Linked DNA regions of Elephas maximus indicus. Each later gene encodes a partner of the first gene's protein in a complex. Links are inferred from orthologs where the notes say so. Each region holds a gene or a part of one and is shown on either strand. Other genes may lie near its edges. The genes, in order: ARHGEF7, PAK1 and SHANK1.

The links.
Region 2: the proteins of ARHGEF7 (region 1) and PAK1 are in contact, whole or in part, in an NMR structure (PDB 1ZSG), measured with the Homo sapiens proteins. The link is inferred for Elephas maximus indicus from reciprocal best matches to the Homo sapiens genes ARHGEF7 and PAK1. Residues at the interface, in NP_001106983.1 of Homo sapiens: Lys192, Phe193, Phe195, Thr198, Asp201, Glu202, Glu217, Gly220, Trp221, Trp232, Pro234, Ser235, Asn236, Tyr237; in NP_001363202.1 of Homo sapiens: Thr185, Pro186, Pro188, Val189, Ile190, Ala191, Pro192, Arg193, Lys198, Arg203, Ser204.
Region 3: the proteins of ARHGEF7 (region 1) and SHANK1 are in contact, whole or in part, in a crystal structure (PDB 3L4F), measured with the Rattus norvegicus proteins. The link is inferred for Elephas maximus indicus from reciprocal best matches to the Homo sapiens genes ARHGEF7 and SHANK1. Residues at the interface, in XP_063131056.1 of Rattus norvegicus: Asp735, Ala737, Trp738, Asp739, Glu740, Thr741, Asn742, Leu743; in NP_113939.2 of Rattus norvegicus: Gly673, Phe674, Gly675, Phe676, Val677, Leu678, Arg679, Gly680, Ala681, Lys682, Phe696, Glu703, His735, Arg736, Val739, Ile742.

Annotation. Positions count from the first base shown.
Region 1 is NC_064841.1:77,018,512-77,028,807, reverse strand, and holds the start of ARHGEF7 (rho guanine nucleotide exchange factor 7), read right to left. Parts: upstream 4,538-10,296; 5' UTR 4,367-4,537; intron 3,998-4,366; exon of another isoform or gene 3,988-3,997; 5' UTR 3,585-3,987; coding exon 3,420-3,584; intron 1-3,419. UniProt on the Homo sapiens protein: Acts as a RAC1 guanine nucleotide exchange factor (GEF) and can induce membrane ruffling. Functions in cell migration, attachment and cell spreading. Promotes targeting of RAC1 to focal adhesions. May function as a positive regulator of apoptosis.
Region 2 is NC_064825.1:44,659,641-44,669,639, reverse strand, and holds the start of PAK1 (serine/threonine-protein kinase PAK 1), read right to left. Parts: upstream 4,680-9,999; 5' UTR 4,502-4,679; intron 1-4,501. UniProt on the Homo sapiens protein: Protein kinase involved in intracellular signaling pathways downstream of integrins and receptor-type kinases that plays an important role in cytoskeleton dynamics, in cell adhesion, migration, proliferation, apoptosis, mitosis, and in vesicle-mediated transport processes.
Region 3 is NC_064829.1:97,699,887-97,710,357, forward strand, and holds the start of SHANK1 (SH3 and multiple ankyrin repeat domains protein 1), read left to right. Parts: upstream 1-5,811; 5' UTR 5,812-5,863; intron 5,864-8,248; exon of another isoform or gene 8,249-8,336; 5' UTR 8,337-8,379; coding exon 8,380-8,634; intron 8,635-8,832; coding exon 8,833-9,036; intron 9,037-9,556; coding exon 9,557-9,628; intron 9,629-10,471. Other genes in the region: CLEC11A (C-type lectin domain family 11 member A), read right to left, coding at 203-394, 641-830, 1,044-1,190. UniProt on the Homo sapiens protein: Seems to be an adapter protein in the postsynaptic density (PSD) of excitatory synapses that interconnects receptors of the postsynaptic membrane including NMDA-type and metabotropic glutamate receptors via complexes with GKAP/PSD-95 and Homer, respectively, and the actin-based cytoskeleton.

The DNA.
Region 1 (10,296 bases):
TAATTTCGCTTCTTCTAAACTATCTCTATCTTGATTTCACCCCTTATACATTAATACAGTAATCTAGGGTTGTTCAAAGCATTACCTTATGAGAACGGTGCTAATGGAGTCAAAGACGGTTGCCTGGTAGATTTTACGGCCTTTGTATGCGTCGCATAGGGTCGCTATGAGTCGGAATTTAATGTTTCTCATCACAAGAGGAATGAGGGCGGAAAAAAAAAAATAGTGTGGGTAGATCAGTAGAACTTCCTGGCCTTTACTGGAAAAAATCAAAGTGCACTGGTCAACTTTCTAATCCTCATCTCTTTCTCGCCTGCAGCCATGATCAGAAAACACAACGCTGGTAATAATTAAAGGTCTCTCTTTTCTGAACTGCTCACATCAATTTATAGTTCCCTCTTCTCACTGGCTTACCTTCCACCTTAAAACCAGTAGAACTCCAGAAAAGGGAACCTGAATGAAAACCCTTTTTTTTTTTTTTTTTAAACGAGTAGAAAAATCTGAAATTAAAGGAATGTCCTCTCAGTTCCCTCTGCCCTTTTATTAGCTCTAAAATAGAGTAAATGAACATAATGGAAGACACTTACTAGAAAAGGGTTTTTTTAATAGAAGACATATGAGAAACCTGAGTCAGCTCAACAGCTTTTCTTGATTTTGTCCGTATCCCCCGGTCTGATGGTGAGTTTTAAATTGTGAATTTGCAAATACGCAATTACAGCTGCTCCTACTGCATTAGCTAGTTGTCTGTGTGCTCATGTGTCAAAAGGGGGAAAGTTAAGATTCTCTCAGTTCCACATGAATATTCAGTTAAGTTTCCAAATGTTTCTTTTTAAGGAAAAATGTCCTCATGCTCACATTCCCACATCTCAGTAAAACTTGTTCAGCATGTGTGCTCTGTGGCGTATTTTAGTTGGTATCCGTGCAAACATCAGAAAGCTCAAGCAAATAGCTCTTCTCTGGAAATGGAAAAAAACCTCATGATTCTTCTGAAACCCAAGGGTTTTGGGGAGGCAAAGACTGGCTAATATTTTACCCTGAAAACTTACCTTTGAACCACAGAGAATTCATAGCTCTAAAATTTGCTACTTTGATGTTAAGCTTTCATTGCCATACAGTCAGTTTAAAGCAAACTATTTTGGGGCCGAGGTAAAAACAAATGGCTTTAATATAAGAAATTTCCAAATGACTCTAGTTTTAGACTCTGTTCGGTTGTCTCACTTTGGCTTCTGCAAGTTAAACATTTTATTCACAGTTCTCTTTGTTCTTTTAGAGATGAAAGCATTGAAACAGTTTTCTAAGAAAACCTTTCCAGAATTTAAAAGAAAATAATTACTGGAGCCTACCAATTGATATTAACGTCTTTAATACCACGAATAACATATGTGCCGATATCGACATGTTCTTATCAACACAGCAGACTGTTACTTAAAGCTTCGCTCTTAGAATTGGAGCAATGTTTTCTTTACATCTACGATGGTAAACTTCCGCATTTTCAGTGCTTTTTTAACATCTGTCTTTTGTTTCCAGAAGTAGTATATCCAGGTGACAACAGAGCATCCTGAGTGCCTCCAGAGTTAAATCCTGCCCTTTATTCTCACCTTAAATCATAATTTTATTGTGACACCTGGTTCATTTACAAGCAACATTTTTATTTCATGGACAGATTGTTGTCATAAATACGTTCCAAATAAGAAAGACACCTAAAACTAATATGTATGCAAAATTAAAGATTTTCTGACATTTAAAATGTAATGCCAGAACGCGTTCAAAGTTATGAGTAAGATTAAATATTTCACTTTTTCAAGTAAAACATTTCATTATTAACAAATGCATTCCACTGTGTATAAGGGCCAATGTGCCCCCATTAGAAAATGAAGCTGGTTTCCCCAATTATGGTTCACTCCAATATGTGCCATCATTTAAATAACTGTGGAGCCTAACATTCTATCTTGGCAAGATATTTGAGATAAAATTGTAATATATTAAAATAGAGGGAATACAACCTCCTTCGAAGCTCTCACGTCCCCTCCCCATGCTTCGTGAGCTCCTGGGAGCTGAAAACAAGCTTTAATCACTTACAGAAATGCAGGTCAAAGTTCACACTGCAGCCACGGGGAAACCACTAGTCAAGAGTAACGGGAAGGAAGGTCTTTTAGGACTATCGATTCTGTTCAGAATCAGGTATGAATTTGAAAACGAAATCTGCAATTTTACACAAGTCTCGAAGAATGCCAGGGCTTTTTTTTTTTTTTTTTTAACTCAAGCTTCTGCAATCCTCTTGCCTGGGAATACAGGAGGCATTTTTTCGCTGGGAAAGTAGTAAACCGTTTCACAGCCCAGCCCTCAGCTACTGATGAATGCGTCTTTTAAAAAATGCACGGGAATCGATCAATTAAACAGAAAAAGGATGAAATGCCAAGAAGAAGAATTGTTCAAACAAAGCCATCAGAGAAAACTGTGCGTGGTACTGGAAGACCGTTTTACCATCAGGTTACTGGAAACGAGCTAGGCAGACCTCACAACACCGAGGAGCAAGTTACCGTCAGGGCGGTACAGAAATCCTATTTCCGACCATGTAAAAGAACTCTTTCTCCCGCCGACCCGCGCCCCCGGCCCGCCGCCTCCGGCCCGCCGACCCCGCGCCCCGCGCCCCCGGCCCGCCGACCCCGGCCCGCCGCCCCGCGCCCCCGGCCCGCCGCCCCGCGCCCCCGCCCCGCCACCCCGCCGCCCCGCCGCCCCGCCACCCCGCCGCCCCGCCGCCCCGCCGCCCCGCGCCCTCGGCCCCGCGCCCCCGGCCGGCCGCCTCCGGCCCGTCGACCCCGCGCCCCCGCCCCGAGCCCCCGGCCCGCCGCCCCGCGCCCCCGGCCCGCCGACCCGCCGCCCCGCGCCCCCGCCCCGCCGCCCCGCGCCCCCGCCCCGCCACCCCGCCGCCCCGCCGCCCCGCGCCCTCGGCCCCGCGCCCCCGGCCGGCCGCCTCCGGCCCGTCGACCCCGCGCCCCCGCCCCGCCGCCCCGCGCCCCCGGCCCGCCCCACACAATGGCGCCCTCCGAGCTCCGGCTGCCTGGCGAGGAGCGCTGTGCGCGGGGAGAAGCGCACGCTCCTGCCCGGCGCCAACCGGGCTTCCAGGGGGTCCGCGCACAAAGGAAAGTGCGTAGGCTTCCTCCCGGGGCGCTCCATTCCCCGCGGGGCACAGGAAGAAGGCGGGGACCGCCGCGCGGGTCGCCAGGTGCCAAGGCGCGAGGTGGTCCGCACGGCCGGGCACTCCTATGCCATCCCGGGCCGCGGCGGCCGGGGACCCCGGGCGGCGAGCTTTGTGCGCCCAGCCCGCAGGCGGCGCGCAGCGGCCGGGCCCCGGGGGCGCGCTCGGTGCCAGGGGGTCCGCGCGGCGGGGGCGGCGCGCCAGCTGCCATAGCACTTACTTTCTCTATGGTCCCGGGGAGCAAGCGGTCCAGCAGCCTGCAGAGGACCACCCCATCTTTCAGAGACGACTGCAAAAAGCCCTCCGGGTCCGAAATGGTTTTTTTGGGCGACTCCAGCACCCCCAAGGTAATGAGCCACGTAACGGTCTGTTCAGCAGAATTCATAGCTGTCCGAGGAGGAGCAGGAGAAATCCGCAGGGGAACCAAGGGGGATGCTGCACCGCCGAGCCTCTCCCTCCTCCCTCGCCCGCCCGCTCGCTCTCCGTTGCTTTTTCTGAGCCCCCTTTTGGCTCGTGGTTTCACATTGGAGCAGCCGGGGCTGGAGCCGCCGATCCCACCTCCTCCTCCTCCTCCTCCTCCTTCCCCATGTAGATGCAGATGACGACGATTGGCTTTGCGAAATCCAGTAGGTCCAGTTTCGCTCCCTCTCCCTGGCTCGCCTTTTGGCAGACTGTCAAGTGCCTTTTCATTATGTGCACATGAACCTGCAGCGGCGGCGGCCCGGCGCCGCCTCCTCCTCCTCTTCCTCCTCCTCCCAGCCCTCAGCTGCTGTCGCCCAATGACATCACTGAAACGAGAAGAAAAGAAGGTGCCGTTTGCAACCCGCTCCACATCCTGTCACCGTCTCGGCGCGTCCCAGCCGCCACCGCCGCGCACGACAGATGGGTCCTCGCTGCCCTGGGCCCCCAGGACAAGTGGGCACGCTGCGTGCGCTTTTGCGCAGGCTTTGCGCGTGATGTGAATGTGACCTACGCCGAATTTAACAAATGGTACCAGGAACACAGCGCCAATGTGACCGATGCCTCGGGGCGTGTGTTTACGCACAGGTGCTTGCCCGTTAGGGGGCAGCTAAATCCAGACTAGCTGTGTGGATAGGCGCCCGTCGGCCCACCCCTCCGTAACCGTTGTCATCAGTATCTCGTGTTTGTGCGCGCGCGCGCTCTTACCTCGACAGCTGCTTTGTAGGCGACAGACCCAAAGAGTCCTTTTGACCTCCAGAAGTCTGGGTTCAGCCACACGCCGAGGTGGTTTTACCAGCTGAGCCCGCGCGCCGCCCTGCCCCCTCGGCGACCACGTGCTGGCCCCTCCGCGCACCGTCTGAGCCGTTTGCGCTCCTGCTCCGGGTCTACGCAGCCGACACCATCTGGATGGAAGCGCCTCCCGGGACTGTCTTCGCTCTCCTGTCCCTTCCGCCGCCCCACCCCCTTCCTTGGAGGACTTGGAAACCTTTTTTTTTTTTTTTTTTTAATCATGAAAGTTTAAATTATTAAATATTTCCCAGAATTCTCATATCTTTGACAGTTTTATTTCAAGAGGGGAGTGAAGGGGGGGAGGGTCCTGAAAACAAGACGTCTTCGCTACCTTGCAAGCCAATAATTACAGAACGTAAATTATAATGAAGTATGTAACCAAACCCAAAAACCAAACCCACTGCCGTAGAGTCGATTCCGACTCATAGCGACCCTATAGGACAGAGTAGAAGTGCCCCTTAAGGTTTCTGAGGCTGTCATCTTTGCCAAGCAGACTGCCCCATCTTTCTCCGGCAGCTGCCGACCTTCTGGTTAGCAACCGAGTTCTTTAACCACTGAGCCACCAGGACCCTAAGTATGTAACCACATGGGTCTAATTCGGGAAGGAATTGATTTTCCTAACCCTGCTGTTTGTCCTTTTAAACGTGCACCGCAATTTAACGCCGTGGTGCTTGTGTCTCGCGTGCCCCCTGCTGGGGGGCTGGTTAATGCGGCGGATGACCTCACCAAATTCTGGAAGGTGGGTGGCTAAATATATGCGAGGACCGTTAAGGGAGCGCATTTTCCTAGGACCGGAAACCTTGGAATTCTCCCACATTAAATTGATGGTGATGTTTCAAACACTGTTGGAAGAAAGTCAAGAAAATAACATAAGCCTAGAGTGGGTTTGTGCAGACGATCAAGCAGGAATATGAGAACCGCTCAAAGTAGGGCGCTTGGCTGACTGCATAGGAGCAGAAGCTCGTCAGGTGGAAGTAGGCCTGGAACGGGTACAGGCCTAAGGAATTCAAACACCAGCCTTCAGGGCACTGAGCAAATTTCTCTAAACAGCTGGTGACGCTTACACATTTATATTGCTCTAGAAGAAATAGGGCCTCTTTTTTGAAGAAAGCCTTCTCTGCTCCTTTTATTTCCATTTGTTCTGCCCCTAGTCTGTTAGTGCTTTCTCTGTTTGCTTGCTGTGACTCTCCCTGAGTTTAAAATAATATTAGCAGTCGCTTACAAAGAGCTGACTGTGTGCCAGGCACATGTATTAACCCACCTAATGATAAAGCCAGAAACCATAAAAAAAAAAAAAAAAAAAACTTTGGAAAATAATGAAAGCAGCTTAACTCTCCTCTTCCTCTTCTTCCTTCCGGAGGTGTTTGTTGTTTGTTGTGCTTTAGGCGAAAGTTTACAGCACGAATTAGTCTCTCATTTAAAAATCTGTGCACAAATTGTTTTGTGACACAGATTATTTCTATCGCAATTTCTACTGCAGTCATTAGTTGCATTAATTTTCCTCTTCGAGTACCTAATTGTCTTGCCACAAACACAAAATAATTAGGATAGCAGTGTGAATTCTGGGCAATGAGGGCCAATAAAGACACAGTGATAACAGCTGCCATTCACTGTGCATCCCCACAGTCAGGTACCATGTCCAGCGCCCTCACCCACACCACTCCATCGCTGCACAACCGTGTGAAGTTATCTCATTATCCTCATTTCATAAAGGAGGAAACGACACTCAAAGAAATGAAGCCACTTGTCCAAGGTCACATTTATTTGCTAAGTGGTAGAGATGGGATTCGAACCCACGATATCTGACTGCAGAGCCAAGGCGTCTATCTAGCTAGCTCTCTACATTGCTTCCCTATAAGGTCTCCAGAAAATAGCAGAGGAATTAACAGCTTTATCAAGTTTTGTTAGGAAACCCTGGTGGCATAGGGGTTAAGTGCTATGGCTGGGAACAGTTCAAATCTGCCAGCCGCTCCTTGGAAGCAGTTCTACTCTGTCCCTTAGGGTCCCTATGAGCTGGAATCAACTTGACAGCACTGGGTTTGGTTTTGGTTTATAAAGTTTTGTACCTGAAGGGTCTGTCAGTGGGAAAGTATCAACAACCCGAGGGTGGTCTTGAGATTCCTGTTTACTTTTATTACTGCCGAATGGGAGAAATAATTTTCAGTACATGTATAGTCACTACAGTTTCAAATTCTATTAAAATTAGGTCTGGTGCAGCATATACCTGGGAAACAAGAGTAAGATTCAAACTGACTTAATAAAATGGTCCTACAAACAACAAGCTCTAGGGAGTGTTCCTAGGTATCCAATTATTATCAGAAAAAAAGCCCACAGACCAAGTACTATAACTAGTCTTTTTTTAAATTGTGGTAAATATAGTAAATATACATGTAGCAAAACCCTGGTGGCACAGTGGTTAAGAGCTACGTCTGCTAACCAAGAGGTTGGCAGTTGGAATCCACCAGGTGCTCCTTGAAAACTCTATGGGGCAGTTCTACTCTTATAGGGTTGCTATGAGTCGGAATTGACTTGGCGGCAACAGGTTTTGTTTAACCCATTTGCCATTCCAACACTTTTCACATGAACAATTCGGTGACATTAATTATGTTTATCATCACCACTACCTGTTTCCAGATTTTTCCATCACCCTTAACAGAAAGGCAATGTCTCCTAAGCAAGGAGTTCCCCTTTCCCACCCTTCCAGCCTACCTCTAGTAACCACGAATAAACTCTGGTCTCTGTATACTTACTTGTTCTAGATATTTCATTTAAGTGGGATCATACACTACCTGTCCTTTTGTGACTGATTTATTTCACTCAGCATAACGTTTTCCAGGTTCACCCGCGTTGTAGCATGTATCAGGATTTCATTTCTCTTTGTGGCTGAGTAATATTCCATTGTATATACCACGTTTTATATATACGTTTAGGCTGTTGCCACCTGTGTTAGTCATCCAGCAGTGCCATAACAGAAATAACACAAGTGGATGGCTTTAACAAAGAGTTTATTTTTTCACAGTCTAGTAGGTTACAAGTCTAAATTCAAGGCTTCAGCTCCAGGGGAAGGCATTCTCTCTCTGTCAGCTCTGGAGGAAGGCTTCCCCTGGTCAAGGAGCTTCTCAGGCACAGGGATCCAAAGGACACACTCTGCTCCTGGTGCTGCTTTCTTGGTGGTATGAGGTCCCCAACTCTCTGCGTGCCTCCCTTTCATCTCTTGAGAGATAAAAGGTGGTACAGGCCACACCCCAGGGAAACTCCCTTCAGTATCAGGGAGGTGACCTGAGTAATCCTTTTAACTGCAGGCAGAGATTATGATTTCTAACACACAGGAAAATCACAAAATGGAGGACAAGTACACATGGCCTAACCAAGTTGACATGTATTTTTGGGGGGGACACAATTCAATCCATTACATCACCTTTTGACTATTGTGAATAATGTCACAATGAATATTGGTGTACAACTGGTCTTTTTTAATAGAAGTACCCCAACTTTTAAGTGCTTTATACTTACTAGTGGCATTTCAAAAACTTTATTTCGAATATATTCTAGATGTTCAAAGCTAGATGTTCCCCAGGTGTTTAATTGAGATGTAACATCCAACGTGGGCATGTGGTTAAACCTGCCTTAAGATTTTTCCCAGTTACAATTCTAGAGCCATGCTGTGTGGAGTAGGATTCTGGAACACAACACTAACTGGTCCCTTGGACTAGAAACACGTTCCATCGCTTCCTGTGGACCACTTGGCCCTGTCTATGGATATTCCTTTGCCTTACCCTCAAAAGGATGTAGACAACATGGTAAATACAGTCAAAGTCACTGTAAAAATGGTTGACACGTCAAATGTTTTATTATATTTATTTCATTACAATAAAAAAAATTTTTAAACCTACTTTAAAAAAAAGAGTGTAGAATGGTTTCAATGCAAGCATGTCCTTTAGCTCCCACAGTTCTCATGAGAATTTCAGCTTTACTCCCAGCTTGCCCATTGCCATCAAGTCGATTCCAACTCATAGCGACCCTGTAGCTTGGCTACCTCTTAATGGCTGATAGCCACATTCCAGGTATTTGTTAGGAGTACACCCACAAACTCAGCTGCAAACCAGTAACTATCAATCAAAAGCTTGGCTGAAGGACACTGTTTGTGTGCGGTTGCCTGGAGGGTGGTCTTATAAATATGTTAAAATCTACCCCAACCTTAAGCTGGCAGGCAGATGGTTATTTACCAGGACTGTGTAGTAATGGCTCCCTGTTGGATCACTTTTATTGAATTGGGTCATCGCCTAGACTGAGGGATGCAGTAAGAGGCAGTTCCATGAAACTCACCGTGTCGATTACAGGTATGTTATCAAAGGCATTCATTTTGAGAAAATTTGTTCTATTTGTCTGGCATAAATATGACCAAATACGAAATATGATGGATGCAAAGCAAGAAAATAGTTTATCAACATATGTGACTGAAATATGACTCAGGATTAGAAAATGTTTTACCAATATACTATACGGTGAAACAAAGTCAACAACATACCTATCCTAGTTTGGGTTTTCCCAAAAGCAGGGCCTCAAGGAAGGACTTGGGTACAAGTAGTTTATTTGGGAGATGATTCCAAGAACCAAAAGTGAAGAAGGAGAAGGTGAAGCTGAGGAGGGAGAAAAGTGAATGTCGTTGTTATATGCCATCCAGTCGGTTCCAACTCACAGCAGCCCGAGGTACAACAGAACGAAACCCTGCCCGGCCCCACACTGTCCTCACGATTGTTGCTCTGCTTGAGCCCATTGTCGCAGCCACTGTGTCAATCCCTCTCACTGAGGGTCTTCCTCTTTATTGCTGACCCTCTACTTTACCGAGCATGATGTCCTTCTCCAGAGATTGGTCCCTCCCGATGACATGTCCAAAGTCAGACGAAGTCTTGCCATAGCTCTCAGCACCACAACAGCACACAAGCCACCACAGTAAGACAAACAGACATAGAGTGGTGGGATAAGTGAATAAAGGGGTATGTAAGTGAGCAATTCCCTGCGGAGCCTCCAAGAAACAAAATGGAAGATGTCTCAGAATCTTCAAACCAGAAGATGAGAACTGAGACATTTATCCATTGATCGTTACCTACTATGATTGAAGGTCTCCCCAGGGCAATGACCTCCAATTCAGCAGAGCCTCAAGTTTCAAGAACAGGAAGAACAAATTCCCCAAGTAGATCACTGGGAGAGATGGTAAAAGGGGCCGATGCTATTCTATCCTCTGGTACCTGGACACATTCTTTCTAGCTATTGGGGGCACAACATCATTAAAGGCGATTGATTCAGTGGCCTACCACATCTTGAAGGGCAGGTCCCTAACACAGCAGGAAGTCATCCCTAAGCTGGTATCGTAGATGAGCCTCCTAAAAGCCAGTCCAATGTCATCATATCAGGCTGGCAGCTTCCAGTCGATGTATATATGGCAGGGCAAATGATTCTGGTGTTCAAGCACCCACGGTCATACCTCCTTCGTCATAAAATGGGTCCTTTAGTCTGAGACCATCTTATGTGGGGTCCTGTGTCAAGAAATTAGGCATTCTGTCAGCCCACAAATAGCTGGCAGAAACTCTTCAGGCAGGGGCAGCAAATTCATGTACACAAAAACAATCAATCCCAGTAAGATGAGTTGCTTCTCCTTCTAGGGCACAAGAGGTCTGACGTAATCAACTTGCTACCAAGCAGCTGGCAGGTTTCCTCAAATGATGTTTGCATATCAAGGAGCTAGCTTCTGTCTCTGCTGTGAGTAGCTAGGTCAGCCTCGGTGAGAGACAGCCCATGGCGTAGGTCTCTTGCACACGGGAATTACTCTGTCTGTGGGCCCAAAG
Region 2 (9,999 bases), on another chromosome or scaffold:
ATGACTTTACAAATCATCTATATATTGATGAAGCCCAAGTTTCTATTTCTGGCCCAAACACCTCTCTTTCAGGTTAACAACCTTCTATTAGACAACTCCACCACATTTCTCAACAGTACCTCAAACCTAACATGACCAAAATGGAGCTCTTGGTTTTCTCAGCATTGATCATGAGTTTTAATTAGGTTTGTTTACTTATTTACATTCCCCTCAAATTAACAGTAATCTTCACAAAGGAACAACTAAGTCTGCAGTGTTTACTTATGTATACCTAACAACTCAACAGGGCTTGGCAAGGTACCCTGTAGACATCAAGATTTACTAGGCCGTCTCTGCCCTCAAAAAACTCACAGATTGATGGAAGAGGCTGATACATAAACCAGAATGACAATACAACATGGTAAGTGCCACTATGAATGGTGAGGCAAGCACATGGGTGCTACAAGAATCCAGAGAAGGCAGCCTTAATAGCCTACTAGTCAGGGAAGAGTTTCTTGAGAAGGTGACATCAGAGTTTATTTTTGTCGAATAACAATAATGATAGTTACTAAATGCCTACTATATAATTTTAATCCTTATAAAAACCCTTCAAGGTAGTTATAAATATCTTCCATTTTATATGAAGCTTAGAGTGATTAGCAACCAGGTTGCTAGTAAGTGGCAAAACCAGGATTTGAACCAAGGTGAGTCAACTTTTAAACTCCCCCTTCTATTTCTTTGCTACACCACAGGGTTCCACTAAAAATAGTCTCTCTTAGCTTCTGTTGCTGTTATCGCTAGGTGCCATCAAGTAGACTGTGATTCACAGCAACCTCATGGGATAGAGCAGAACTGCCCCATGGGGTTTTCTAGGCAGTAATCTCTATAGAAGCAGGTCACCAGATCTTTCTCCCAAGAAGGCGCTGGGTGGGTTTCAAACCCCCAACCTTTCCATTAGCAGCTGAGTGCTTAACTGTTGCACCACCAGGGCTCCTTTCGTATCTTACCGCAGCCAACTACTATCTATGTGATCTTAAATAACTACATCTTTCAACCTCAGTTCTGAGCATGGGGCTCAATCACCAGTCCATAAAGCCTTCTCTATCTAGTCTATTCCTTTTCCTCTATTCCTTAAAGATTGAGGCTCAGTTTTAAACTAAGCAGTCAGCAACCGCAGGCATTTCTTTCAGGCTTTAGCATCTGAGCCTTTTTCAAGGCCTGAAAATGCATTCAGGAACAACCATAACAATATTGCAAAGTGCTTTACAGTTTATAAAGTATTCTCATACTCATTATTCCATTTGATCCTCACCAACCCTATGAGATGTTAAGTCCTCATTTTACTGAGGCCAATGGAAGTAAAATGCCTAGCTTAGCTCCATCTGGTTTCTGGATGCTACAGTCCACCATAAATTGAATTTAAGAAAATGGAGGGGGGAGGAAAGGGAGGACGAGATCAAATGACTCATAAAGGCAGCTCAACACCAAGCCACCCAAGTGGCCTGGGGCCAGATGTTAACAGAGACCAGGTGTGTTTCCCTTTCAAGGTAATGTGTGTTTGACCATTGCATAGCGACCTATTATGTGTAACTTTTCTTTTTTCTACCCAGCAGCACCTAGAGTTCAGCCCAAAAGACCCAAAACCAACCCCGTGGCCGTCGAGTAGATTCCAACTCATAAGGACCCTATAGGACAGAGTTAGAGCTGCCCCATATAATTTCCAAGGAGCAGCTGGTGGATTCCAACTGCTGATCTTTTGGTTAGTAGCCATAGCTCTTAACCACTGCACCACCAGGGCTCCTCCAGCCCAAAAGGTAGGCAAAAAGCGGAATGTAAGAAAACTCTTAAACTGGATGAACGGACACGGGGAACCCGGGTATAGTGGTAAAGGAAGAGAGCACCAACACATTGCGGGGATTGCGACCAACGTCAAAAAAATTTGTGTGTGCAAATTTTTGAATGAGAAACTAATCTGCACTGTAAACAAAGCACCATAAAATTAACAAAGGAAAAAGAAAACTCTTTGTATACTATCTGTACACATGGGGTTACGAGATAAAATGATACAGAGAACAGGCATCACCTTTAAAGAAGATTTGAGTTTATGTTCTAGCTCTGCATCTGACTTGCTGAGTCAAAAGTTCCCTCCTCTGCACCACCACAGCCCCTTGTGCTTGCCTCTAGATACTTACCATATGAGGTCACAGGTACCCACACTCTTTGACCTGCACTGGATGGAGGGCAGTCACTGAGTTCAACTTCCACTTTTGTATCCCCAGCACCTGATACCATAACTAACACAGATGGTTCAGAGAACATCTGATGATGAATGGATGCCTTATTCAAAGCTTTTTATATAGATATACATTTCATATTCTGGCCTAGATGGTGAGCACCAGAAAACAGCAACATTGTCACTCTCATCTCTGCTGCCTCTCTCACTCACCCACTTTGGGGACACTACTCAAGAAAATTTTGCTGAGTAGAAATAAACCAGTCCAAAAAGCAAGTCTGCATAGGGGAAGAGAATTAACCTATATGGTCCCTTTCCCAGACTATAGTCCTTCCCTTGCCACCCCCTCCCCACCCACCCCTACGCCCAAATAATCCCTATCTTACCCAGTCACCCTCTTCTTCAAAAGGCCACTGTTCTTCTCCCCCAGAAGAACCTAATCCCTCCTAGGTTCCCACAGGGTTTTCCCCTCTTCTTTCCTGGGCTCATGGGTCAACTTCATTTCTTCAGCAATGTCTCAGAGCTGCCAAAGAGTGTTTGGTCCTCCCCCAGTCACTCATCTCACTAAAGGGAGTTTGAGCCTCTGCCCAGCCCTACTGGACACACTTGCTCTCCTCCAACTCTAGACCTCAAGCCTCTGACTTCCCATTTAATTTACTCCCTACAGCCCACCTGCTGGAAACTCTGGTGGTGTAGTAGTTAAGTCCTGTGGCTGCTAACCAAGAGGTCAGCAGTTCGAATCCACCAGGCGCTCCTTGGAAACTCTATGGGGCAGTTCTACTCCGTCCTATAGGGTCGCTATGAGTCGGAATTGACTCGACAGCAGCAGGTTTGGGTTTTGGCCCACTTGCTGGACCCCCAGGGAAAGAGGTTGGGGGACAAATCCAAAAGGAAGGATTACTGGCACTGGGAGAAGACAGAATTTGGAGGAGAAATCTCATAGCAAGGGAGTTAGGTAGGAAACAGAGCATGCTGAGATCTCACAAAACACCACAGCAAAAGGTCCCTACAAACCAGTAACCTACTAATAATGAAAAAGTTTAACCAGAAATTGTAAGAGGGAAAGAGAAGCCTAACCAAGAATGAAGGACTTAAGAGAGGGAAGGAAAAACTGGCTATGAAGAAGAGATAAGAAAGGCAAAGCGTGAAGGGACCAGGAAAAAGGGAGGAAGCTGGGGTGGGAGAATAGGTGGGTAGGAAGAAGGGCAGGAAAAGATCAGGAGGAGGAAGCTGAAAGAGAAGTGGGGAGAGCTAAAAGAGGCAGGACCAAGGAAAAACCAGGGGGAGGAGGAAAGTTCAAAATAATCTAGGTAGGTTAGTAGAAGGCCTGACATGTGTTTCTTGGTCCCAGATAATTAAGAAGGAAGAAATTACAGTGATTAAGTCATTATACAGCCCCAAGGCTTGTCATTAACTTAGCAGGGAAAGGAAGGGGCTTCACACAAGACAACATAGTTTAAAGCAGCTTTATACACAATACTGAAATGGGCAGCTCAGAAAAAAAACCATTAGCATACCTTGACCTGCTTCTTCACAACCCCACCTCCCTATATCCAAATATCAGCATTCTCAGCCTCTGCCTTGCCCATGAAGTCACTGGGTCCTGGGCAAACCAGCAAGATGCATTCAAAAAGCTAGCTGGAAGAGATAACGCCAAGATCTGCTTCCCAATTTCGCCTCTGTCTCCTACAGTGTAAGGGCACGTTCCCAAGACTCATTCCAGGGCTTTCGCCTGCTCATCTTTCCAAGACACTTTGACAGCCTGGGAAAGCCAGAGTTACAAGCAGGATATCAAGTCTTTCATTGCAGAAATAAAGAAACTGAGGCCCAAAAAGGCTGTCTGAACCAGTACCAGCCCCCCCCCCCCCCCGCCAGGTCTCCCATTTCCCAGTTCACTTATCAGTCACGTAGAACATCCCCCCTTCCCCCGCTCAGGACCCAGAGAAAAGCTCCACGGTCCCAGCAGGCGAGAAGCTAAGCGAAGGCAGAGGTGAGCATCACCCAGGCCACCACGCAAAGGGTACTAGCAGACGAGCGCGGGCTCCCGCAGCAGAGCAGTTCCCCAAAAGCGCAGCTTCCCCTTCACACCCCGGCGAGAGCTCTGATGCCAGTGTAGGCCTAACCCTGGGTGGGATCATCAGAGGGTTCCACCCTCTGCCCCTTCTCTCATTTAGGGCCTCTTAAAAGAAAGGGAACGAAAGGAGGCTTAAAATTCCGGTCTCCCCGGAAGCTGGCGGAGACCCCCAGCGCAAGCCTAGCTGGGCACGCCCCAGGCAGGGCCGGCATTACCTGGTGGGGGGCGCCGACCCCGGCATCCCTGGCGACCTCTTTCGTCGCAGACCCGCAGCTCTCCCGGCCAGCACGACCGCGCAACAGCCAGTCTCCCCGGCTCCGCTCCTCGGCTGGGCCAGGCTCTGGGCAGCTGGACCGCCCCAGCTCCCGCGGTGCAGCACGCTCGCGCCCTCGCAGGGCGGCAGCAAAGGCGAAGCAGAAGGGGCGGAGAAAGAAGGCAGAGAAGGAGGCGGGAGGAAGTACCTTCCCAATCAGCTATTCTCCACCACCCGGTCTCCCAAATCAAACCAAATCAAACCACTGCCGTCGAATCGATTCCGACTCCAGCAGGAGGTAATTTCCCGCCGGAACCGGGCTTTCCAGGTTCTGTCAGAGTCCTGGGCGCGCCCCAGAGTCAAGGAAGAGAACCAGAGCTTCTCTGCGCCTCAGTTTCTGCAGCTGGCTCTGGCTCTGCACGAAGCCCTCTTCCAGGTCTTCTGAAGTCAGATGTCCTACAATTCCATCAGATTGGGCTGCAGTAAAAGCGGTTCCGCACCCCCCACACACACATCCCACACCCCCAAAACGTGTCAGGTCTAATTCTAATGCCCCAGGGAAAACACTGGGTGGGCCCTTATGGCTGTTTCAAAGCAAAGCAAGCTCAGCAGCAGCAGCTACCGTTTAAGTGCTAATTGTATACCAGGGGCTTTACAAATATTAGTCTGTCTCTCATCAGCCTTGTGAAGTGGGGACTACACCAGTTCACACACAACAAAACTGAGGCCTGGGGAGAATGTGGTTTCATATGGTATTTCTTAAGCACCTATTGTGTCTCAGGCACTGTAAGGAGCCCTGAGCTGAACAACACCAAATTGCAGGCACAACACATTCCAAATGCTCCCCGTTGTTGTTTATTGTCATCTAGTTGATTCGTGGAAACCCTGGTGGCGTAGTGGTTAAGTGCTACGGCTGCTAACCAAAGGGTCAGCAGTTCGAATCCGCCAGGCGCTCCTTGGGAACTCTATGGGGCAGTTCTACTCTGTCCTATAGGGTCTCTATGAGTCGGAATTGACTCGACAGCACTGGGTTTGGTTTTTGGTTTGGTTTAGTTGATTCGTAAGGTCGCTATCAGTAAAAAAAACTTGACAGCAACTGGTTTGTTTTTTTGTTTGTTTTTTAGTGGATTCAGACTCATGGCAACCCCAAATGTGCAGAGTACAACTGCACTCCATAGGGTTTTCAAGGTTGTGACCTTCTGGACGCTGATTGCCAGGCCTGTCTTCCAACATGCCTCTGGATGGGTTCGAACCACCAACCTTTCAGTTAGTAGTCCAGTGCTTAAACACTTGTGCCACCAAAAAACCAAACCTGTTACCATCGAGTCGATTCCCACACATAGTGACCCTAAAGCACAGAGTAGAACTACCCCAAAGGGTTTCCAAGGAGTCCCTGGTGGATTCAAACTGCCAAACTTTTGGTTAGCAGCGTAGCTCTTGACCAGTACACCACCAGGGTTTCCTTTTGCCACCAAGGGACTCCTCAAGTGCTCCCTGTTGTTATCATGTCCCGTCAAGTAGTTTCCAACTCATAGTGACCTTATAGGACAGAGTAGAACAGCCCCCATAGGGTTTTCAAGGAGCGACTAGCTGGTGGACTTGAACTGCTGACCTTTCAGTTAGCAGCCAAGCTCTTAAGCATTGTCCCACCAGGGCTCCAAATGGTCGCTAGGAGGTAGTATTACCTCACCGCCCCTTCAGAGAGACTGCAGGAGTCAGATTATGCAGGATCTCTTCCAGGTCACAAATAGGAGTTTGGATTTTTTTATACATACGATGGGAAGTCTTTGGAAGATTTAGTAAAGCAAAATGAGAAGATCTAATTTGTTTTTAAAAGCTCACTGACTGCTGAATGAAGAATGGAGAGTGAAGGGAAGATGGAAACAAGAAACAAGTTAGTAGATTCTTTCAGAGTTCCAGGCAAAAGATGATGGTAATGATTTGGACTAACATATTGGAAGAATAGATGAAAAGAAACAATTATGTAATAAAAATACAGTTTGCAAGGAGAAGCTGCACAACTTGGTGATGGGTGAGAGAAGGCAGTGACTTCTCCAAGACTACACAGCTGGTAAATGGCTGAGTCATCTGAACCCTGGTTTGACTCTAAGCCTACACTTTAGTTCTCTCTGCCTTGGTGTTAGTCTTCTCCATATCAACTACCACTGACACAGACATAAAATTACTGTTAAATTGCTATAAAAGTTTTCTAAACACTTTCAATTTCTATGCTTACCACACAGCAGACTGGAAAAAGTTCAGACCCTACTTTGAGTAGCGCTAGTCTGAGGAACCCTCCACTAAACTCAGTCCTATTTGCAATGACCTTCTTACTACCTGGTTCCCTGAGAAGACATGATAGTGTAAGTGAAGTCTGTGGGAATAATCATTGCCTTTTTTTTTTTTTTTTTAATTGTACTTACTATTTCCGATAATTCAGTCTACAGCTGCATTACCTTTTTAGCCACTGAAATACCTTTGGCTGACATTGAGCTTAGGCAGCTAAAACCACCAGTCTCTTTTTCATAAGAACAGCATCATTCTAGGTCTCCTCCAGTCTTCCCATATGTCCTCATTTCTTTGCAATTTAAAATGCACGACTTCACTGTCATTCAATTTTATATTGTTGGCTTCAGCCCATACTTTCAAGCTCTCTCTCTGCTATCTAGCATATTAGTTTCCTTTGGAGCCTTTGTTACCTTCAAATCTATCATGTATGCCATCTCTTCAAACATTTATCAAACATCTACCATGTGCCCTTGCCTGTGCTAGGTTTTCAAGATTAAAGGATTAAAGATGACCTAGAAATGGCCTGGAATCCCTGGGTGGTACAGTTAATGCACATGGCTGCTAACCCAAAGGTTATAGGTTCAATTCCACCCAGAGGCACCTTGGAAGAAAGGCCTGGTGATTTACTTCCCAAAAATCTGCCATTAAAAACACTACGGAGAAAGTCTATTGAGGAGGAGCCAAGATGGAGGAATAGACAGACACCTCTGGCGAGCCCTCTTACAACAAAAACCAAAAAAAAAAAAAAGTGAAACAAGTATATTTATGACAACCTAGGAGCCCTGAACATCAAAGGCAAGCTTAGAAAACGAACTGAGGGGCAGGGGGAGGAAGCAACGGTTCAGAAGCAGAGAGGAGTTACCAGACCTGAAACACAGGGAGCCCTCAGGCACCATTCCTGGAGGCGGCTGCGGCAGGCTGGTACTACCGTTCAGCCACAGTTTCCTCAGGGAAAAGCAGCCAGCCACACAGCCTACTCACACCTCCAGAACCAGAGAAGAAGAGCACTCTCTGCAAAAGCTCGGTACATGCGTATATTTTATTGCCCCACCCCACCCCGCCCCCAAGCTGGCTTCAGAGGCTGTTTTCCCTGGACCTGAGGTAGGCCCTGTTGAATGCTTAGAGCCATCCTCCCAGCGTTGGAGAAGGAGTAAATTTGCAACTGGGGGAGAAGATAATTTGCCAGCTCCACTAACCAGGGGACCTCAGGACAGAAGCAGCTCCTGTACAGGCATAAACAGTCCATGGACTTTGAGCACCTTTCCCCTCTACATGGACCTGTGTGGGCCTATTTAACAATAGGCCCTTGTTGGCACACTACAACTGTTTCAGCTGTGCGGCGGAAAGGTGGGTGTTTGATGTTTGACATTGCTTTGCCTATTAAACAGGGTCCTCACCTACTCACATCAGGGTCCTAAGGACTGGTAGCTCCACTCAGGTTACCCAGTCACCTGCAACATGGGTCCAAGGATAACTGGTACCTCCCAGTCCTTACAACCAAAAATATTGAGTGTCCATGGTCCATCTACAGAAGCCACCCACCTGTATGCTGTAGGGAACAGGGACACACTTTCCTCAGAGACACGTGGGGGATGATTCTCAGCCCCCTGCCTTGTTCAGAGCATGACACTCTGCTGCAACCAGATACGGGTACCTACACCAATCACCCCTGCCCCTCTAAAACTATAGGACAGAGCCTGTATCACATACTTGATGACCAGCTACCTGGACACCTGAGCTGAATTCATACAAGAAAAGTGAATGGATTCCTAGACTGATATACCTGATAAGAGCTCTAGCCATCTGGGGACTGGATTCAGTGCTACAAAGGTGAAAATAATCAAGCTAGCTCACTCCAGCAACCCATTTGGGCATATCGAAACAAAACAAGGCAAGAAGCTATGACACGATAAGCAACCATAAAATAAACTAATACAATAACTTATAGATGGCTTGGAGGCAACAGTCAATATCAAGTCACATAAAGAAATAGACCATGATCGCCTCAACAAGCTCTCAAAACATAGAATCAAGGGATCTTCTAGTGAAAGTGCCTTCCTGGAATTACCAGAGGCAGAATACAAAAGATTAATATACAGAACCCTTCAAGACATCAGGAAGGAAAAGAGGCAATACAGAACAAGCCAAGGAACACACAGATAAAGCAATTAAAGAAATTTTAAAAATTATGCAGGAACATAATCAAAAATTTAATAAGCTGGAAAAAATCCATAGACAGCAATCAGAAATTCAGAAGATTAACAATAAAAGTGCAGAAGTGTACAACTCAATAGAAAGTGAAGGAGCAGAATTGAGCAAGTGGAAGGCAGAATTTCTGAACTTGAAGATAAAGTACTTGGCACCAATATATTTGAAGAAAAATCAGATAAAAGAATTTTAAAAAATGAAGAAAACTTAAGAATCGTGTGGGACTCTATCAAGAGAAATAGCCTTCCAGTGATTGGAGTACCAGAACAGGGAGGGATAACAGAAAATACAGAGAGAATTGTAGAAGATTTCTTGGCAAAAAACTTCCCTGATACCGTGAAAGCTGAGAAGGTATCTATCCAAGTTGCTCATCGAAAACCGCATAAGGTAGATTTTAAAAGAAAGTCACCAAGACATGTTATAATCAAACTTGCCGAAACCAAAGATAAAGAGAGAATTTTCAGAGCAGCTAGGGATAAACGAAAAGTCACCTACAAAGGAAGGTCAATAAGAATAAGCTCGGACTGCTCGGGAGAAACCATGCAGGCAAGAAGGCAATGGGATGACTTATAAAATGCAGGAAAAAAATTGCCAGCCAAGAATCTTATACCCAGCAAAACTGTCTTTCAAATACGACGGTGAAATTAGGAAATTTCCAGAAAAACAGAAGTTTAGGGAATTCGAAAAAAAAACGAAAACTACAAGAAACACTAAAGGGAGTTCTTTGGTTAGAAAATCAATAATATCAACCCAATACTAGAGCACTGGGCAGAGCAGTCAGAAGTCAACCCAGACAGAGAAATCACAAAAATAAATCAAGATAAAAATATGCTCAAAACAGGGAAACAGCGATGTTATTAAGTAAAAGAAGACAACATTAAAACAATAAAGAGGGACTAAGAAACGTAGTCACAGATCTTCCATATGGAGAGAAAAACAAGGCAATACAAAGAAATAAAAGTT
Region 3 (10,471 bases), on another chromosome or scaffold:
CCTCCAGTGCCCCTCCTGCTCTCCGCATTCACCCTTCCAGCTGTTCTACCCTCCCCATCTGCCAACGCACACCAAATCTCCAGGGACCCTTTGCCCCTGACACTCCGGGTCCCCCTCTAGCCTCAGAACTCCCCCCCCCGACTAGCCTCCCACCTCGCCCCGGTCGCCCACTTTTCCCCCGCCGGGTCTGGCGCGGACTCACCCTCCAAGCGGCCGTGCTGGCGCTCTGCGCGGCTCTGCGCCTCCTGCAGGGTTTGCACAGCGTCGCGGGTGTCGCCCGCCGCCTCCCGCAGCTGACGCAGCCCCCGGGTCAGTTCGGCCACGCGGGTGTCCAACGTGTGCAGACGGACGTGCAGCTGGTGCAGGCCAGCGTCCAGGCCGGCCAGGCGGCCCACTGCGGAGCGAAGGGGTGTGCGCTGGGTGGGGGCTAGGAGCGGGTTCCGGGACCCGAGTACTTGGGGAGGGGCGGGGTGAACACCTGGGGCTCCCAGGGACGAGACTAGGGGGACCCCAGGACTTCTGGAAGGTAGGGCTCAGTGGCCGGGGCTGCGGAAAGGTCACCAGACAGTGGATTGTGGGTTCATTTTTGTGAAAGTGGTCACCGAGGCCTGGGGACAGGGCGGGGCTTCTGGGTACTCACGAATGTAAGAGATGGCGTCCTCAGGGGTGGGAGAAGGGCTGGGGCTGGAGGAGGGAGTCAGGGTTGCTTCTTCCTCCTCTTCCTCTCCCTGTCCATCCTCCTCTGCCCCCTGGGCCTCTCTGCCCTCAGAGGTTCTGGAAAGACTTTCATTCCCTCTCCCAGCAGGCAGCCCCAGGGCCTCCTGTAAATGCTGGAGCAGGCGAGAGGAGGTCAGGGCCGCTGGACCATACCCCCCCATTCCCCACCCTCCCCTTGCCAGCCCTGAACTTTAACTTGCTCTCTGAGCCAGAGTCCTTTCTCTGATCCCGTCACCCCTATCCTCTGTGCCTATTTCTTTAACTCTGGAATTCCCCCCTCTGGAGCCTAGGACTCCCCCATACAGACCCAACACACCCCAGCTCACCTTCAGCATCAGGGCCTCCCTTTCCCGTTCCTCCTCCTGGGAGCCTCCCCAGCCTCCCTCCCACTCCCTCTCAGCTTCCTGAGCCCCATGGCCATAGCCAAGAAGCTGGGGGACCACCAAGGCCCCAAGGAGCCAGGCTGTCCTCATCGGACTAGGCTTGTGGCACCCAAGGCCACAGACGTCCTGCTGTCTATAGGAGTCTCTGGAGACTGGACTGTGCCCTGCCCTGTCTGCAGGTCACTGGCTCCCTGGTCCCTGCCTCTCCCAGCTTCTCTGGACTCCTGTCCCTCTCCTCCCAATTCCTGTCTCTGTTCGTTTGTCTCCTCTGTGTGTGTCTCTCCCCGCCCCTCTTGGCTCCCCGGAGGCCTGCCTCTGTGGCCGGAAACCTCCAACGTTCCAAAGCCTGGATCCGCCTGCCTTTGGTCTCCTTCACACACACCCCTCTTTCCACTTTCCAGAGCTCGGTCCCTCCCTGCTCCTTCCTTTCTACCCTGGCTCAGAGGGCCAGGAAGAGCCTGGGACTGGCTTTCTTCGAGGGTGGCAGGCCCAGCCTGGGCCAGCACCAGGGCCCCTCAGGACCAGGCAATGGTTTGGCCCTGTCCCCTTCCCCTCTCTCCCACCCCCAGCCATTCCTGAGGAAGGGGTTTCAGCTAAGGTTGTTATTACCCCCAGCCACCATCGCCCACACATCCCAAGAGAGAGATCTCTCCAACCAGTCTCAGGCTCCAGGGTGATTCCTGCCCTCAAATCTCCTATTCCCACCCTCCAAGCCCTTGTCCCAGGTGCGTGTATGTGGGTGAGTTATGCCTGTGGGGACACATATGTGTCCCAGGGTTCATTTACCACATTTTACTGAATGCCTCCTGCAGACCAGACCCGGGCCAGGCCGTGCTGGGTACTCCAGCTGCTCACGGACAAGTGGACTTGGACAGACAGTCCCACTTGGTGAGAGGCTGGGGCTGAGGGGTAGTAGAGGAGGTGGGGGTGGAGGAGGGAGCAAGCAGGGAAAGGTAGGGTCAGGACAGGTTCCTTCAGAAGGTGGAGGAGATGCTGGGCTCATGGAGAGCTCTGAGCATTTGGCAAGGTGCCTGTCTCCTGCCTGGACCACTGCAGTCGCCTCCTCCCTGCTCTCCCCCTCCTTCCTCCAGAGCCCCTCCAATCCACGATGCTTGCCGCAGCCAGAGCAATCTTTCCCACCAGTAAGTCAGATCACGTCACTCCCCACTCCCCTGCGCCCCCAGCTTCCCATCAGATGCAGGAGTGGAGCCAAACCCAGCCTGGCTAGCCTGGCTGAGCTGGGGAGGATGAACCCTTTGCACCATCTCCCCTCCCCTCACCCCCCAGCTCCAGCCACACTGGTCTCTGCTATTTACAGAATGCCAAGTTCACCCCCACTCCAGAGCCTTTGTGCCAGCCATTGCCTCCTCCTACACGCTCTTTGCCCAATTTCTTCTCATTGTTGAGGGCTTTCTGCCCACCTTAGGTCCCTGCATGGTGCAAATGGTTTGGGTTTCAATGTGACTACTACTGCCCTGGTGGTGCAACAGTTAAGTGCTCAGCTGCTAACCGAAAGGTTGACGGTTTGAACCCACCTAGCGGCTCCATGAGAGACACAGCTTAGGAAACCCTATGGGGCAGTTCTACTCTGTCAACGGGGTCACTAAGAGTCAGAATTGACTCCATGGCACCTAACAAAACAACACTAATTGAAGGTGACAGTTTGAATCCACCCAAAGGTGATTTGGAAGAAAGGCCTGGTGATCTGCTTCCATAAATCTTACAGCCAAGAAAACCCTAGGAGCTCAGCTCTACCCAGTACCCCAGGGGGCTGCCGTGAATTGGAACCGACTCAGCAGCAGTGGGTTGGGTTTCAGTTTTTCTGCCCACCTCATTTAAAGAAACTTCCCCTCCACAAGTTGTTTCTGTGTCTGGGGTGTCCTGGGGTCTCCGTGAGTCAGAATCAACTTGAGGGCACCCCGGTCTTGTTTTTTCAGAGGAGTCCCTAGGTGGTGCAAACAGCTAATGCACTTGGCTGCTAACCAGAAGGTCAGAGGTTCAAGTCCACCCAGAGACACGTTGGAAGAAAGACCTGGGAATCTATGTCCAAAAGACCGCAGCTATTGAAAACCCTACAGAGCACAGTTCTACTCTGACGCCCTGGGGTCTCCATGAGTCAGACTGGGCTCTGCAGCAGCTGGTTTAACTGTTCCAGAATAGCTCAGGGGCTGTAAGCTGGTTAAAATTGGGGGTCTGGGGAAGCATCCTGAGGCTGTGTTTCCTGGCAGGGTAAGAGCTTGACCAAAGGTCAGTCTCCCTAGCCTCCCTCCCACCCCCCTCTTGGCCCCTCTGAGCCCCACAGCTAAAGCCAAGGAACTGGGGAACCATCAGGGCTCCGAGGAGCCAGGCTGCCTGCATTAGACTGGACTTGACACACCCAAGGTCGCAGATGGGCTGTTCAGGTGACACCCCGAGTCTCCTGTAGTAGGTGGCGGTGGCAGTGGGGGAGGAGGTGGAGAGGCCAAGCCTGCTCCAGCCAGGCCTGGTGAGTCATCCAGGGCTTCCCCAGCCACGGCTGAGCTGGTTTTGCCAACAAGCATGGAGCACCCTAGCCAGGGATCACGGGGCCCACTTGTCAAAGGACGAAACCGAGGCTCAGGGAGGGGAGATTGTGGCCTTCTGGAGGTCACCAGCATGGCGGCAGCTAGCCAAGGTTTCTGGCTCTGAGCAAGAGCAGGGCATCTGCCCTCAGCTGCCGGGAGCCCCAGGAGGGGCCTTGGAAATGAACACATCCAGCCTTCGGTTTTCCAAGAAAGCTTGCTACACAGCAAAGGGCAGTGTGACCTTGGTAGGCTGCTCACTAGAGCCCCAGCCTCTCAGGGCCCAGAACCCCTGCATAGGCCGGGAAAGGCCTTGTAAACTGTAGAGAGCTGTGCAACCTCTTTCACTGCTGGCACCAACACGGGCAGCTGTTCTCTCCCCAGGCCCAGCTGCTCACCACCTGGGCCGGGTGTGCATCAAAAGCAGGTCTTTCTGCTCTAGCTCATGGTGGTGGTGGTTGGGGGGGGGGGAACTCTGGAGTGCTTGTAGCTGTAGGTACACCCAGAGGGTGCCTGGAACTGTAGGTGCCTGTGCTCAAGCTGGTGGCCTTGGAGGTCCTGTTGGGGCTGGGGAGACAGGTGGCAGCCTGGGCCCCCAGGACGTGCACTCACTGCCCTCTGACACCTGCCCTGTGCCTGTGGGTGTGTTCTGGGCATGAATGAGCTATCTGCATACACTATGTGTGCTGTGTGCATGTGTGCACATGCGAGCTGGATATGTCTGTATATGCATGGGATGAATGAGAATGTGCAACTACGTGTGTGCCAGGCAGGATGGACTAGTGGTTGAGTGACAGCTTTAGAGCCAGCCTGCTTGGCACCACCTCTGCCTAGCTGTGTGACCTCAGGCAAGTTACTTGGTCTCTCTGAGTCTCAGTTTCCCCTTCTATAAAATGGGGATGATCAAATTTCCTCACCCATAGGGTTGTGTGAGGAGTAGATGAGTTAACCCAGAGCCTGGCACACAGGAAGGTCTCTGTAAATGTCAGCTATATTGTCACGAAGGGGAGCTAGGCCATGGCTGTGGTGGGCATCTGAATTCGTGTGTGCGTAAGTACCTGAGTGACAGGTGGGGAATGAGTGAGCTGGGAATGCATGCATCCATCCCTTACAGCTGGGTGCCTCCTGTTTCGGGCTGCAGATCTGGGCATGAATGTGGCGATTTGCGCTGTGAGGAATGGGGGATTACATGTGCGTGCGCACAGGCAGCAGGTTTGCCGTGGCCCATGAGCTGATATGCCTGTGTTCAAGCTGGGTGGGTTTGGGTAAGGTGCACCCAGGTGCATTGTGTTTGGGTGTGCATGCCCTGCAGGGCTTGTCTAAGTGGGATGTCTGCCTGGGGGCCCCCTGCTGTGCCTGTGTTCAAGTATGCCACCAGGTGTGTCCACATGTGCCCTGTGTTCCCGTAGAAGGGGTGTGTGTGTGTTTGGGGAGAAGGGGACAGGGATCTACAACCCTCATAATCCAATTTGGGGTGTAGATCTCAGCAACAAATATTTATTGCACCCGACCGTGCTTAGAGGGGGTGAGCGGCGCTCTGGGAAGGGGCTGCCCTGGGGTGTGCATGGGGTACCCCAGGGGGGTGGGGCCCGTTTTCGGGGTATGGAAGCCAGTGGGGGTGGAGTCAGGGTATGGGGACCCGGTGGCAGGGAGGAGTGGGGGGGAGGGCTTGGAGAGGGGGTGGAGCCAGCGGTGGGGGGGATGGGCGAGGTTTGGGGGCGCAGGGAGGGGCGATGTCTCCTCCGCCGGCTCCCGGAGGGAGGGGAGAGGGCGGAGGAAGGGGAGGGAGGGAGAGAGGGAGGGAGAGAAAGAGACAGGGTGAGGGAGAGACAGCGAGAGCGAGAGAGCGAGAAGGGAGGCAGAAGAGGCGCGGAGCGGGCGGCGGCGGCGGCGGCCCGAGGAAGAGGAGGAGGAAGACAGGCGGAGACGCGGCGCCCGGAGCGGGCCGGACCGAGCCGGGGGCCGGCGAGGAGGGGCGCGGCGGCCGCGGCGGAAGGGGGGGCGCTCTGCGGATGGCCAAGCCCGGTCCGCGGGGGGGGGTGAGGTTCTCGGCCCCCTCGCCCTCCCCCCCGGCCCCCGCCCGCCCCCTCCCCGGGCCCGCTCGCCCTCCGGGGCGGTGGGGCATGGCCTGAGGGTCCCCCGTCTCCGGGGGGGTGGGGGGTGGGGGGAGGGGGGAGGGGCCACGGGCGCCGCCGACCGGGACTCTGCAGCCCCGCCAGGCAGGTAAGGGGGCCGGGGATCCGGGGTTTGGGTGAACGGGGGGGCTAAGGCTGAGGGAGGAGGCAGGGGCGCCCCGAATGTCCTTGGCCGCGCGCCGGGCTCCGGGGCCTGGGTGTGGGGTGTAGGTGAGGAGGGGAGCGTTACCCGGGCGACGCCAAAGTGGGTTATGCCCCAGTCCCCCGTGTCCCGTCCCAGATGACAGCCGGGCTGGGAAGATGCACCCCTATATCCCGCCAGCAGCGCCCCCAGCCCGAACCCGCCTCCCGGTGCTCCAGGGCCATGGGCTCGATTGCCGTGCCCGCCTCCTGGCCCTGCCGGCCACTCCCCCGCCTCACCCACCCTGGACCACATGGGCTCCTAGCCCCCTCCTGCGGTCCCACAGCTCAAGGCCCTCTCCAGATCATCCCAATTCCCACCTCGGCGAGGGGTCTCGGCCTTTGTCTCTTCGCCCCCTTCGACCCTCTCACACTCCTGCTTCTCTTTCCAGGCGCCTCCTATCCCCTCTCCACCCCTCCCCATGCTCCCGCCACCCCCACCCCGTCTCTGTTCCTTGCTCCACCGGCCGGCGCGCCCCCTCGCCTCCCGCCCCCGAGTCCCGTTCCCGGTGCCCCCGCCCCCTCTCTCCGGCCAGAGCTCTCCCCCACCAGTGTCTCGGCCTGAGCCCCAGTGCCTTCTCCCCGCCTCTCCCCGCCTCCATTCATTCTCCCGGGCCGGCTCTCGGGCCCCGCCAGCAGCCCCCCGTCCCCTCGCAGCCTCCCAGGGCACCCCCTCTCTCCTCTTCTCCACCCCCCTTGCCGATTCCTCAGCCCGTCTCGGTACCAGCTGCGTGCCAGCTATTCTTAGCCGAGGAGCGTTTGATTCATGCCGCCCCGGCGGAGTGTGCCCGCTCCCTCCCTCGGGGCCTGAGGGGGAGGGGCCGGCGCTGGTCCAGGGGCTTGGGGACAGCCGCGCGCGCGGGGGGCCAGGGCCGGCTCTCCTTTCATCCACTCAGTCACCTCCTTAGTGCTGAACTGAAGCTGAGGGTCAGCCAGGGTCAGTCAAGGGGGAGTGGCTGCGGGGCCCCAGGGCCGGAGGTGGGACGTTGGGTGAGCGCCGGGAGAAGGGTTAGAAGGAGACCGGGGTCCCCGGAAGGGCAGGGTGGAGCAGCGCTGTTGGGTACCTGGAGGGGGAGGGGGCTACGAAGCGCTGGCCCCTCGTGGGGGAGGGGTTGGCCGGCTGGTGCTTAGATGCTCGCTCGCCTTGGCTCTTGGAACTCTCCTGCCCCCCATACACATTTTGTCTTCCCTCCCCCACCCCTCAGCCCATCCCCACTCCCCCAAAGTCAGCAGTACCCTCCACTGCTTCCCATCTCCATGGCAACCGTGCAGGAGCTGGGCCTGGCGTGGGGGGGAGGGACCAGACCAGACATCCTGGTTTCCGGTGCTGGGGTGGGAGTGGGGGAGAACATGGGGGAAGAGGACCCCACTTGGGACCCATCCTTATAAGGCCACCTCAGGAAGAACAGCGGGGGGTTGCAGATGGCCTCCCAGCCCAGTCCCCAGACCCTCACCCCACTTCTTAGTCTCCCTACCAGCCCTCCAACCCCCCCACAGAGTGGAGCCACCAGTACCAGTCCATGCCAATCCACCCGCCAGCAGCGCTAGTCCTGGAACAGACCCATAGGTCACCCGCAGCCGCCCGACACCGATCCAGGCCACCACATCTCTGGTCTTCCCGGGGTCAGCCTCTCGCCCACCCGCACGCCCTTTCAGGATACTCCCAACTACCTCCCTAGGCCACCTCTGGTGATTCCCTCAGGAACAGCCCACTCACGATGCCCTGCCCTGTGACACCCCATCTCGGTGCCCACTTGCTTTCCTGGGACGGTCAATCCCTTAACAGCTCTGTGCACACACACGCTGGCAGCCACACGCCTGTGGAGTCACCAGCCCCACCTGCTCCAGCACCCGCTCCTCCCGCCCCAGGCTGCCAGCATCTCCGTCTCTCCCTTACTACCTCGCAGCCTCAGCCTCCCCCCAGCTCCCCAGGAGAAGAGGAAGGGAGGGCCCAGGGTGAGGGGCCAGGCCAGGGCCAGGAGGGCAGGATGCCGGCCGCTCAGTCCACCTGTCTGTCCTCTGCTAATTTTAGCTGCCTTTTCTGTGGCCTGACAAAGTGGGCCAGTAGCTCCCGCGGTGATTCTGCGGTTTCTGGGACACAGCGACGCTGGGTCAGCGGCAAAGTGGGGCGCAGGGGGGCGGGGGGCTGCGAGGAAGGCCAAGGGCAGGGAAGGAGACATGTGCTGGGAGCGTGGCCGGGCTGGGGGTGTGTGCGTGTGCGTGCGCGTGCGGAGGCGGCCGAGGGGCGGAGTGTCTGGGGGTGTGCCCAGCCTACTTCCTGCCGGCAGATATATGCAATGAGGTGCGCCCGTGGCCGCTGGTCCCGGGTCCTCTGAGGGGTCCCAGGCTCCTAGTCTGACGGCTTCCCTTGGCCCCCGCAGCCGCCTGTGATGCTGCCACCCCCCGTCGCCCCGTGGCCCCACGATGCCCCACAGCCCCGCGTCCAGCGAGGACGAGGAACGCCACAGTGCCAGCGAGTGTCCCGAGGGGGGCTCAGAGTCCGACAGCTCCCCAGACGGGCCCGGGAGAGGCCCCCGGGGGACCCGGGGCCGGGGCAGCGGGGCACCTGGTAGTCTGGCCTCAGTGCGAGGCCTCCAGGGCCGCTCCATGTCTGTCCCCGACGACGCTCACTTCAGCATGATGGTCTTCAGGATAGGCATCCCGGATCTGCACCAGACGGTGAGTGACCGCGGGGAGGACAGGGGGACATGGGTGGACCTCTGATCCTGGGTGCCCTCCCAGGAAGCCCCTTTGTCCCCCTCCTGCCTTCAGTACCATCATCGCCCTCCCCCAGCCCTTCATCTCCTCCCAACCCACCTCAGGCTCCTCCCTGGCCCCTGACACACCCTCTTCCTGGCCTATCCCCTCCCCCACCAGAAATGCCTGCGCTTCAACCCCGATGCCACCATCTGGACAGCCAAGCAGCAGGTGCTCTGTGCCCTGAGCGAGAGCTTGCAGGACGTGCTCAACTACGGCCTGTTCCAGCCGGCCACCTCGGGCCGTGACGCCAACTTCCTGGAGGAGGAGAGGTTGCTGCGCGAGTACCCCCAGTCCTTCGAGAAGGGGGTGCCCTACCTGGAGGTGAGGCCCACAGTTCCCCACGCCCTTTGCTGACAACACGAGGAGTGTCCCCCAACACATCTACCCTCTCCTCCATTTTATCCAAGACCTAGGGGAAACCTAGTGGGTGATTTCAGATCTCAGTGGCCTTGGGCAAGTCCCTTCCCCACCCTAAGCTTCTCCTAACCCACCAGATAGAATGGGGGCCTCCCAATTACAGGGAAGCGGATAGATGTAAAAGGTCTTGCACATGATAAGCATTCTAGAACATTCACTGCAGACTCCTACTTCTTCATGATAGAGGCTGCAGTGTACATACCCCACAACAGCCTGGCACTCTCAGAAAAGCCAGCTACCACCCCTCTGTCCGCCCAGCTAAGGTTCCATGGCAGTTTCACATCCTTCCTCTCAACCCTGAGCTGACCGCTGGCTCAGAAGGGGCCCGGAAGCATGGGGCAGGCCCTGCTCCCCCATCTTCTCCTCCCCAGGCTCCTGATTCTGAGTCTCTGTGTCTCTCCTCCCACCCTGCCCCTGGCCTCAGTTTCGATACAAGACCCGAGTGTACAAACAGACCAACCTGGATGAGAAGCAGCTGGCCAAGTTGCACACGAAGGTGAGAGAACAAAGCTGGGATTTATTCCCCATGCCCCTCCCCAGACCCTCTCCCCAACTCTCCACGCCTTCCCAACAACCTTCCATATTCCTCAACCCACCTATTCCTTTTCCAGGGCCCCCCACTTAACTTGGGATGCCCCATGCCATTTGGGATAACCCAAAGCCCCCCCTTCTCCCCATCATACCCGATTTCGAGTCATAGTGACCCTATAGGACAGAGTAGAACTGCCGCATAGGGTTTCCAAGGCTGTAAATCTTTGTGGAAGCTGACTGCCACATAATTTCCCCTACGGACTAGCTCCTGGCTTCAAACAGCTGAACTTTAGGTTTGCAGCTGAGCGCTTTAACCACTGTGCTACCGAGGCTTCTCAGAGCCCCTTCTTAATTCCTCATTCCACCCTTCATCCCCCTGCCCAGTCCCATATCACCTGGCTCCCATTTTGTCCACCCTTTGACTTGCCTTTCTCATCTCCTCCAAGTTCTCCTGTTCAGGCTCCTTTCCCTGTCCTTGGCTTGTGACTCTGACACCCAGTTTCTCCATGCTTAGGGCCCATTTCAGACATACTCTGCATCCCCCAACCCCATCTCCCAAATCTCACCAAGTCCAAGTCTCACTCCCCCACCCCTAGCCATATCCATCCTCCAGTATGTTGTCCCCCAATCCTCGACTTATGTTCCCTGCAACTCCCCTGATCTCCTAAGAGCTAGGAAGATGTGGGATAGGGGGACTCCTTTGGTCAGAGGTGATGTAAAAGAGTATTGACATTCACAAAGAAAGACCCTGTGATCATCCAAAGCCCCCCACTCCACTCCCACCATACCACACATTTCAACTGTTCGT